Linked DNA regions of Ovis aries. The protein of the gene in region 2 interacts with the protein of the main gene of each other region in a pairwise test. Links are inferred from orthologs where the notes say so. Each region holds a gene or a part of one and is shown on either strand. Other genes may lie near its edges.

Region 1 (4,585 bases), on a different chromosome or scaffold from region 2:
GAGCAGGAGGTGGACTTTGCCGCAGTGATGGATCTGGACATTGGTCCAAACGCCGCGGAGGACGGAAGCTTGGAAGTGGACACGGCTCTGCACGTTGTCTCAGATCCGGGCAGGAGGTACCCCAGGAGGGTCGAGGGGCACAACTCTCAGAGCAGCGTCTGATGGGAGGAATCTGAACAGAACACTTCTGGGGGGGAACCTGCCTGGGGCAGCGAGGGGAGGAAATCTCTATTCGGCACTTGGGTCCACATCTCTGAGAGCAGCCCAAAGTGGGACGCCGAGAACAGTCACTGTTATAGATGGGCTCAGAGCGGCGGGGTGGGGTACAGTAGTTATAGGAGCCCGGAGAACATCTTGACGGCAGGCAGCTACTGCTGTAGTAGGGCTCGGAACGTCGTGGTGGGGAGCAGCTGCGGTAAGAAGGCTGCAGCTGGCGAGGAGGGAGGCACCTGCTGGTGCTCCGAGAGCGACTCTGTGCAGGAAAGCTCCCATAAGAGCCCCGGGTCTGGCACTGGGGCTCACAGGTGCTAAATGAAGCCCGGGACTGGCGCTGGGGGGCGCAGCTGCTGTAGGAGCCTTGATACTGGCACTGGGTGGAGAATCTTCCCTGAGGCTGGCACACCAGGGGACCTGTTACATAAGTCTGGACAGGCTGAGGTGCCAGGCAGGGTACATAGCTCTGGCCTGGGCATTCCACATAACAAGTTTCTGTATAATGAACGGGAGCACATTCTACATAGCAGGTCTGCACAGGGCATGGGCCTTCACACTGCACATAGGAAACCTCAGACTGGCATGGAGCCTGGCATTGAACACATGTAATCTGAGGCTGGCTTGGAGCCTGACCCTTCACCTGGGTGGTCTTAGACTGGCATGGAGCTTGGCCCTTCACCTGGGTGGTCTTAGACTTGCATGGAGGTTGGCCCTTCACCTGGGTGGTCTTAGACTGGCATGGAGCTTGGCCCTTCACCTCTGTAGTTTTAGACTGACATGGAGCCTGGCATTTTACCTGGGGAATTTGAACTGGGCATGGTGCAGGGCACTCCACAATTTGCATCTCGCAGGGGGCTTGGACCACCACCTGGCTGTTGGCACAAGGGGATTGGGAGATGCAGAAGGGGGAACATGCCACACAATACTGGGGGTGCGGCTGGTAACACTGAATCTGCTGCTGGTCACACATGGTTTTGATGCAGACAGGTAAATAGACCTGAGGGTAGAAAGACCAAGATCAGGAAGATGAGAGTTGCTGGGGAGTGGTGAGCAGGACCAAGGGGCAGACACCCTGCTTCTTTCCTGGCCTTTCCTCCCATACCTTCAGCTTGTACCCAAGAATCCTTACAGAGTGAGCTCAACCCAAGATTAGTCACCGTTGCCTACAAAATCTGCCTTGAGTCTTCCAAAAGACCTGATCTGAGGGAGCTTCAAAGGACTGCAAATGGGCATTCCAGTGTCCAGCACAAGAGGGCGCTGATGACAAGAGAATTCCCTCACTTCATCAAGTCCTAAGAGGTGGGACAGGGAGGCCTGGCGAGCTGCGATTCATGTGGTCTCGAAGAGTCGAAGAGTCCGACAGGACTGAGCGACTGAACTGAACTGAACTGAAGAGGTGGGAGGGAGCTTTATATGAAGTAGAGAGAAATCTTCCTCCCAAGGCTGTAGCCCGAAATGGGAACCCCACACCCACAGGAGCTTGGATGTCCTCAAGCACTCACACTGGCAACTTGCACATATGTGCAAACATGCAAAAGGGTACATATGGGAGCAAGCCCTCAGGACTTCCCAGGTGGCTCAGCGGTAAAGAAACTGCCTGCAGTGCAGGGGACACGGGTTTGATCCCTGTGTCAGGAAGAGCCCCTGGAAGAGGAAATGGCAACCCACTCCAGTATTCTTTTTGCCTGAAAAATCCCATGGACAAAGAAGCCTGGCAGGCTACAGTCTATAGGGTTGCAAAAAGTGAGGCACAACTCTGTGACTATGCACGCATGCACTCAGGCACCATCTGCGCTCAAAGAAAGTATCCACTGTAGATTAAAGGATCCAGTCACTTACCGGACAGCTCAAACCCAGCATAAAATGTTTGTTTCTTTCTATTCAATCTTTTTAAGTGAATTTACAAGCCCTCATGGACATATGCAAAACACGCACATACCAAATACACCAACCTTGGAAAGGCTCAGGACCATCTTGGAAACTTACCTAGGCAGATTCCTGATGTCAGTCACCTCAACTGGGACAGTCTGCTAGTTTCAGAAATGTTTTCTCCCCAGCCCCTCTGAGAAGCAAGGCACAGTTACCTAAAATAGGATGACCCAGAAAGTGCAAGTTTCCTAAATCACAAGACTGACATTCAGGCACACATAAAGCTCTAAATAGCAGAGTGTTACAAACACGATGTAGGGGTGCAGGCATGCTTCCCAACAGCATACTTAGCCAGGGAGAAACTGAGGGACATCCCCAATCCTCTGTCCTCCTCAAATCTGCCTGTTCACAGGCATCAGCCCAGTGACCAGCACAGCACGGAGACTGTTTTGACAGTTAGTCCACATCTCAAACACATCTCTGTGAGCTCCTGAGATACTGACATACTTATAATGAAGAGCAAAGCCTTCTACTGTCTATTTGTACAGCCTGTCTAAGTATACATGTCCTTGAGGAAGGTAACCCTCTTACATACATGTCTGCTCACAAGATGTAAATTAAATTAATAATGCATCTTTCCAGAGAAAGAGGTCCTGATGCAAGAAAATGGTACCTACAGATAAGTCCATGGTAATCCAAGACAAATACACTGACTTCATTGTCCCAGGTTTTCACCCCAACTCCGTAGATATTCTTCCTCCATCCTCTAAGAGCCCTCCAGACTGTTCTCCTCTGAAGGAGTACCTCTCTTTTTCTGGCCCCAGGGTCCGTCCTCACTGTGCCTCATCCTTGTGAATCTGGGAACCCCATGGGCATCGTCCAGACCCCAATCCCAAGACCCAACCCCTAGACTCACCCTCCTCACAGGCAAGCAGTCATTCAGGCTGAGGAATCTGAAGACAAGACTGTTTATAAAGGCTTCTGAGTCTGGCTTAGACCATGAGACAACTGGTTGGCATCTGCCAGGCATCACCCAATTCCAGCAGCCAGTCACCTCCCTGTATGTTTGTCCTTGCAGTCACCTGTAGAATGTGGGAGTGTCTCACCTTAGTGTCAAAGCCTCTGAACTATGAAGGAGCAGGTCCTTGTTTTCTTCCTCCTTCTTCACGCTGTCAGTTTTTTCTCCATTGCTAGAAGACCTGGTTAAGAGGATGATGAGGCATGGCAAAGACATCTTTTCTCTTGAAAGATGATTCCAGGCCCCTACATTCCCTAACCAGGTAGAGAAAATGGAAGAAAACTCCCTTTTTAAATTAAATAACAGATAATTCACTTCAGTTCAGTCATTCAATTGTGTCCAACTATTTTCAACCCTGTGGACTGCAGCACACCAGGCTTCCCTGTCCATCTCCCAGAGCTTAATCAAACTCATGTCCATTGAGTCAGTGATGCCATCCAACTGTCTCATCCTCTGCCATCCGCTTCTCCTCCTGCTTTCAGTCTTTCCCAGCATCAGGGTCTTTTCCAATGAGTCAGTTCTTTGTATCAGGTGGCCAGAGTTTTGGAGTTTCAGCTTCAGCATCCGTCCTTCCAGTGAATATTCAGGACTGATTTCCTTGGGATGGACTGGTTGGATCTCCTTGCAGTCCAAGGGGCTCTCAAGAGTCTTCTCCAACACCACAGTTCAAAAGCATCGATTCTTCAGCACGTGGCTTTCTTTATGGTCCAACTCTCACATCCATACATGACTACTGGAAAAACCAGAGCTTTGACTAGACGGACCTTTGTTGGCAAAGTAATGTCTCTGCTTTGTAATATTTTGTCTAGGTTGGTCATAACTTTTCTTCCAAGGAGCAAGCATTTTTAAATTTCATGACTGCAGTCACCATTTGCAGTGATTTTGGAGCCCAAAAGAAATAAAGCCTGTCACTGTTTCCTTTATTTCCCCATTTATTTGCCATGAAGTGATGGGACCAGATGCCATGATCTTAGTTTTCTGAATGTTGAGCTTTAAGCCAACTTTTCACTCTCCTCTTTCACTTTCATCAGGAAGCTCTTTAGTTCTTTGCTTTCTTCCATAAGGGTGGTGTCATCTGCATATCTGAGGTTATTGATATTTCTCCTAGCAATCTTGATTCCAGCTTGTGCTTCATCCAGCCCAGCATTTCTCATGATGTACTCTGCACATAAGTTAAATAAGCAGGGTGACAATATACAGCCTGGCGTACTCCTCTTCCAATTTGGAACCAGTCTGTTGCTCCATGTCCAGTTCTAGCTGGTGCTTCTTGACCTGCATACAGATTCCTCAGGAGGCAGGTCAGGTGGTCTGACATTCCCATCTCTTTAAGAATTTTCCAGAGTTTGTGGTGGAACTTGACACAGTATAATGCTTTGGCATAGTCAGTAAGGCAGAAATAAATGTTTTTCTGGAACTCTCTTGCTTTTTTTGATGATCCAGCAGATGCTGGCAATTTGATCTCTGGTTCCTCTGCCTTTTCTAAAT
Region 2 (3,668 bases):
GGGCCACCCTGCCTGGTCTTGCCTCTGTGCCTCCCTCACCCCATCCCCTCCCCCTCAGGCTGGGCCACTCTGTACCTTTCCAGGACTGGGCGCTGGGAGGGGGCGTGGCCACCTTGAGAGCCAGCCCATAGGCTCCTTGGAATGAATGACTGTCCCTGATCAGGAAGGCCCCAGGGTCTTTGTCCTTCAGCAGGGTGATGGCTGGGGGAGGCAGGAGAAGCTTTCACAGGGGCAGACCAAGCCCCAGGCAGCCCCTCCGCTCTGCTGCCCGAGCCCCCCAGACCTCTGGCCCTGACAGCTGTGGTGTCAGCACCCAGGATGCCACTGGGGAGTCAGTGCACTGGGCACTGAGCAGGTGAGACCTCCTCGGGCCTAAAACCCAGAATCATCTGCTAGAAAGAGGCTCGGCCCAGAGGAGGCCCACTGATGAAGTGGCACAAACCAGAAGCTGAGCCAGAGGCCCGGAGGGAGTAGGGGCAGGCTGGCTTCTCACCTTGGTCACGGGACAGGTGTGGCTTGTACCAGAACTTGGATGTGTCCTGGACAAACTTGACATTGCTCTGGCTCTCTTGCATCGGGGGCTCTAGAACAGGGAGGGACTAAGCTTTACCCCAGGGCTCCCCAGTCCCCATGCCATGCCCCTCCCTGGAAACCAGGGTTCTCCTAAGGTGGCCCCAGCCTCCTGAAGGCCTTTATACCTGGGGGTTGGGGGGCATTATCCGGGAGCAGAGGTGCAAAAGTGACATGGTGACTAGCGCCTCTGGCTGGTGGTGATGCCTGCTCCGGGCCCCAGGGTCCCGGCTGCTGCCCAGGCCCCAGCAGATGGCGTTTCTCAGGAAGGGGGGGTTGGGGGGGGCCGTTGATGTCGTAAGATGCAGCCAGAGGAAAGGCAGGTGTGGGCGAGCTCTGAGGGGGTTCTGGGCTGGCCACAAGCCAGGGCATCTGAGTAGGCACAGGGGTGAGGGGGGACCCATCCGGGCTGTCTGGGGGATCTCGCAGGCCCTGCCAAGGGGCATGACGGAGGCCGGGCAGGGTGTTGGGTACAGGCCCCCTTGGACTGGTGCTGTCCAAGCGGCCCCCCAGGCTCCTCTCCTGAGGCCAGTCGTTGGGAGAGCTGGGTGGGGAGGCTGAGGAGAAGGCGCCAGGGGCTGGAGGCTCAGGCCCACTTCCCGCAGGCAGCTCTGGAGCCTTATCAGCGCCTCCCTGGGAAACAGGCGGCAAGGCCTCCGCGGGACTCAGTCTCTGAGTGGGCGCCAAGGTGGGGGACCGGGTGTCCTGCCGTCGGGTGCTGCAGGGAGGGAGGGCGGGCAGTTTAGTTGGGTTGCAGAGCCCTGTGTGAGGTGCCTGCCAACACAGGCTTCAGTGTCTACCCAGATAAGGAGGCCCCTGAGCTGCCCAGCCCCACGAAGCACCTCTCCTTGCCCTGGACGGGGCTGCTGGTGTGCAGCGGTGTGGAAGGACCAGACAGCTCGGAAGCGGTGCTGCACTGGGCATCTCGCGGGGACCGGGGCAGGGTGCTGTGCCCGCTGGGACTCTCCCTCCAGGACACAGGCTCCGGCGACTCTGCAGGGAGAGAAGGGGTTGTAGCTCTTCCTCAGTCTGTGCTTTCCCCACCATTCCCCAGAACCCTCTTCTGCCCTGGGCATCCCCCTTCCCAGGGCCTCACCTGGAGATGCCAAGGGTCCTGCTGGGGCCAGGTGCCCAGGCAGCGGATACCGGTCCCCTCCTTCCTCTGCAGGGATCTCATAGCTCAGCTTCCTGGACTGGGGGTAGGGCGGGCTGCCAGGGGAGATGGAGCCAGCCCGGGGGGAGTGGGCACGAGGGCTGGGATACCCTCTACCCTCACCTGGAGACCCACAGCTGTGCGGCACCCGGCCGTATGCTGGGCAGCAGCTGGGAACTGCGCCTCCATAGCCGTACGTCACCAGGGCAGGGTACCCTGGGTGCCCATACCTGCCCTCGGGGCACAAGGCATAGGAGCAGCCCTCATGCCCTTCCTCGCCTGCCTTCGGTGGCTTCAAGCAGCTGTAGTCAGGCAGCGGGGTATGGTGGTGCCCGCAGGCAGGCACCAGCAGGGGCAGCGGGTGCCCGGGTCGCACCGGGTGCAGGAGGGGCTTACCAGCCTCACTCGCCCAGCCCTCCCCAGCCTCCCTCTCCAGCCGCAGCCCATAGAGGGCTGCCGTGGGCAGTGCTAGCTTCTCCTCACAGGCAGGGCACGAGCACAGTGCAGGCAGCCCTGGGTCTTCCAGGATCACCACCTCCCGGTAGCCTGGGGGGCGGTAGCCAAAGTCTCCATTGGTGGGTTTCCCCAGCTCAGGCGGGTAGGGGTACGGCCCCTCGGACAGCGAGCGGCAGAGGCGCCTCTTCTCCACGGAGGGCTCAGCATAGCCCTGGGGGGCCCCCTCATAGGCTCCGAAAGCCAGCCGCCGCCTCTCCAGGGTCCCCTCTGGCCGGTAGTAGCCTCCATTGGGGACCCCGCAGGGTTCCCGGTAGCCCTGGCGGCAGGAGCAGTGGCGGCTGAGGCCAGGCCTGTGTCCTGAATATATTCCGAGGTGGGGGCCTCCGCCCGCAGCGGGCTGGTCTTCATCATCAAGGATGGCCGTCTCGCGCCCAGCTCCCCGGCCCCCACTGGCCACTCCACAGCCTCCCAGCAGGCGCTCGAGCTCCTGCCGCTCGGCAGCCGTCGGAGGTGGCCGGCCAGGGGACTCGGCGGCCGGCTCCGTGGTCAGCGTGGAGGAATGGCCAGAGTCGCTGCTGACAGAAAGCAGCGGGGGTGGGGGTGGCTCCGGAGATGGGGCCGGTGGGGTCTGGCGGGGGGCTCGCTGCACCTGGGCATAAGGACTGCCATCCAGGGGCCCCCGGGTGTGGGTGACAGAGTCTGAGTGGGGAGAGGATCCGGGCGGTATAGCAAGCAGGCCACAGTGGCGGGGGGAGAGAGAGAGAGAGAGAAACAGACAAAGCGCGTGTGTTAACAGGGGATGGTGCCGGAGACTCCAGCTCGGGGGTGTCTCTTGGGAGGGTGTCTGTCTAGGGAGGGAAGCATGTCCCCCCACAGGAAGCTCCACCTCCCTCCCCCTCTGGGGGCACCCCACACACCATCCGCACTGTCCTCATGGTGCAGGTTGAAGTTCTCGTAGGAGTCCCAGCGCACTGCGGGCTCTGCAGTGTTGTAGTCGACAGAGACGGAGGGCTCATTCCGTGGGGTGCTACCTATAGAAGGGCGCCCCGGGGGTGAGGAGCAGGGAGACAACCCCTGCCCCCTGCCCCCTGCCAGGCTTGGCTCTTACCTTTGATCTTCTCTGGGCTGGAGGAGAAGACGAACTCCACCGAGGCTTGGAAGGGGAACCTCTCGTCTGTGGGGAGTGGACAGTGAGGAGCAGGTGACCCCCTCCCTGCCCTTACCCACCTGCCTGCCTTCACCCGGGCTCCAGCCCCCAGGCCACTTGTCTCCAACTCACCGGCCCAGGCCTCATCCAACTGGTCCTTGGAGAAGATGAGCCGTGGTCCATGGATAGTGCATGTGTGGAACTGGACTCGGAATACGAGGGTCCGGTCAGTCCCCCGGCTACCCTTGTGATAGCATGTTACCTGGGGGAGGGGAGGGAGACCAGCATTCAGGCTCTGTGTCCACACACGTCTCCTCTGTGCTTCTACCCTGGGGACTATCT

The links.
Region 1: the proteins of TNS2 (region 2) and KPRP interact in binary tests that used the Homo sapiens proteins (3 or more experiments, as listed by UniProt). The two-hybrid records come from large-scale screens. The link is inferred for Ovis aries from reciprocal best matches to the Homo sapiens genes TNS2 and KPRP.

What each region holds. Positions count from the first base shown.
Region 1 is NC_056054.1:102,716,036-102,720,620, reverse strand, and holds the start of KPRP (keratinocyte proline-rich protein), read right to left. Parts: upstream 3,029-4,585; 5' UTR 2,999-3,028; intron 2,298-2,998; 5' UTR 2,200-2,297; intron 1,211-2,199; 5' UTR 1,184-1,210; coding exon 1-1,183.
Region 2 is NC_056056.1:133,380,808-133,384,475, forward strand, and holds part of TNS2 (tensin-2), read right to left. Parts: intron 3,589-3,668; coding exon 3,459-3,588; intron 3,354-3,458; coding exon 3,288-3,353; intron 3,211-3,287; coding exon 3,097-3,210; intron 2,879-3,096; coding exon 1,667-2,878; intron 1,564-1,666; coding exon 1,413-1,563; intron 1,289-1,412; coding exon 699-1,288; intron 584-698; coding exon 494-583; intron 202-493; coding exon 76-201; intron 1-75. UniProt on the Homo sapiens protein: Tyrosine-protein phosphatase which regulates cell motility, proliferation and muscle-response to insulin. Phosphatase activity is mediated by binding to phosphatidylinositol-3,4,5-triphosphate (PtdIns(3,4,5)P3) via the SH2 domain.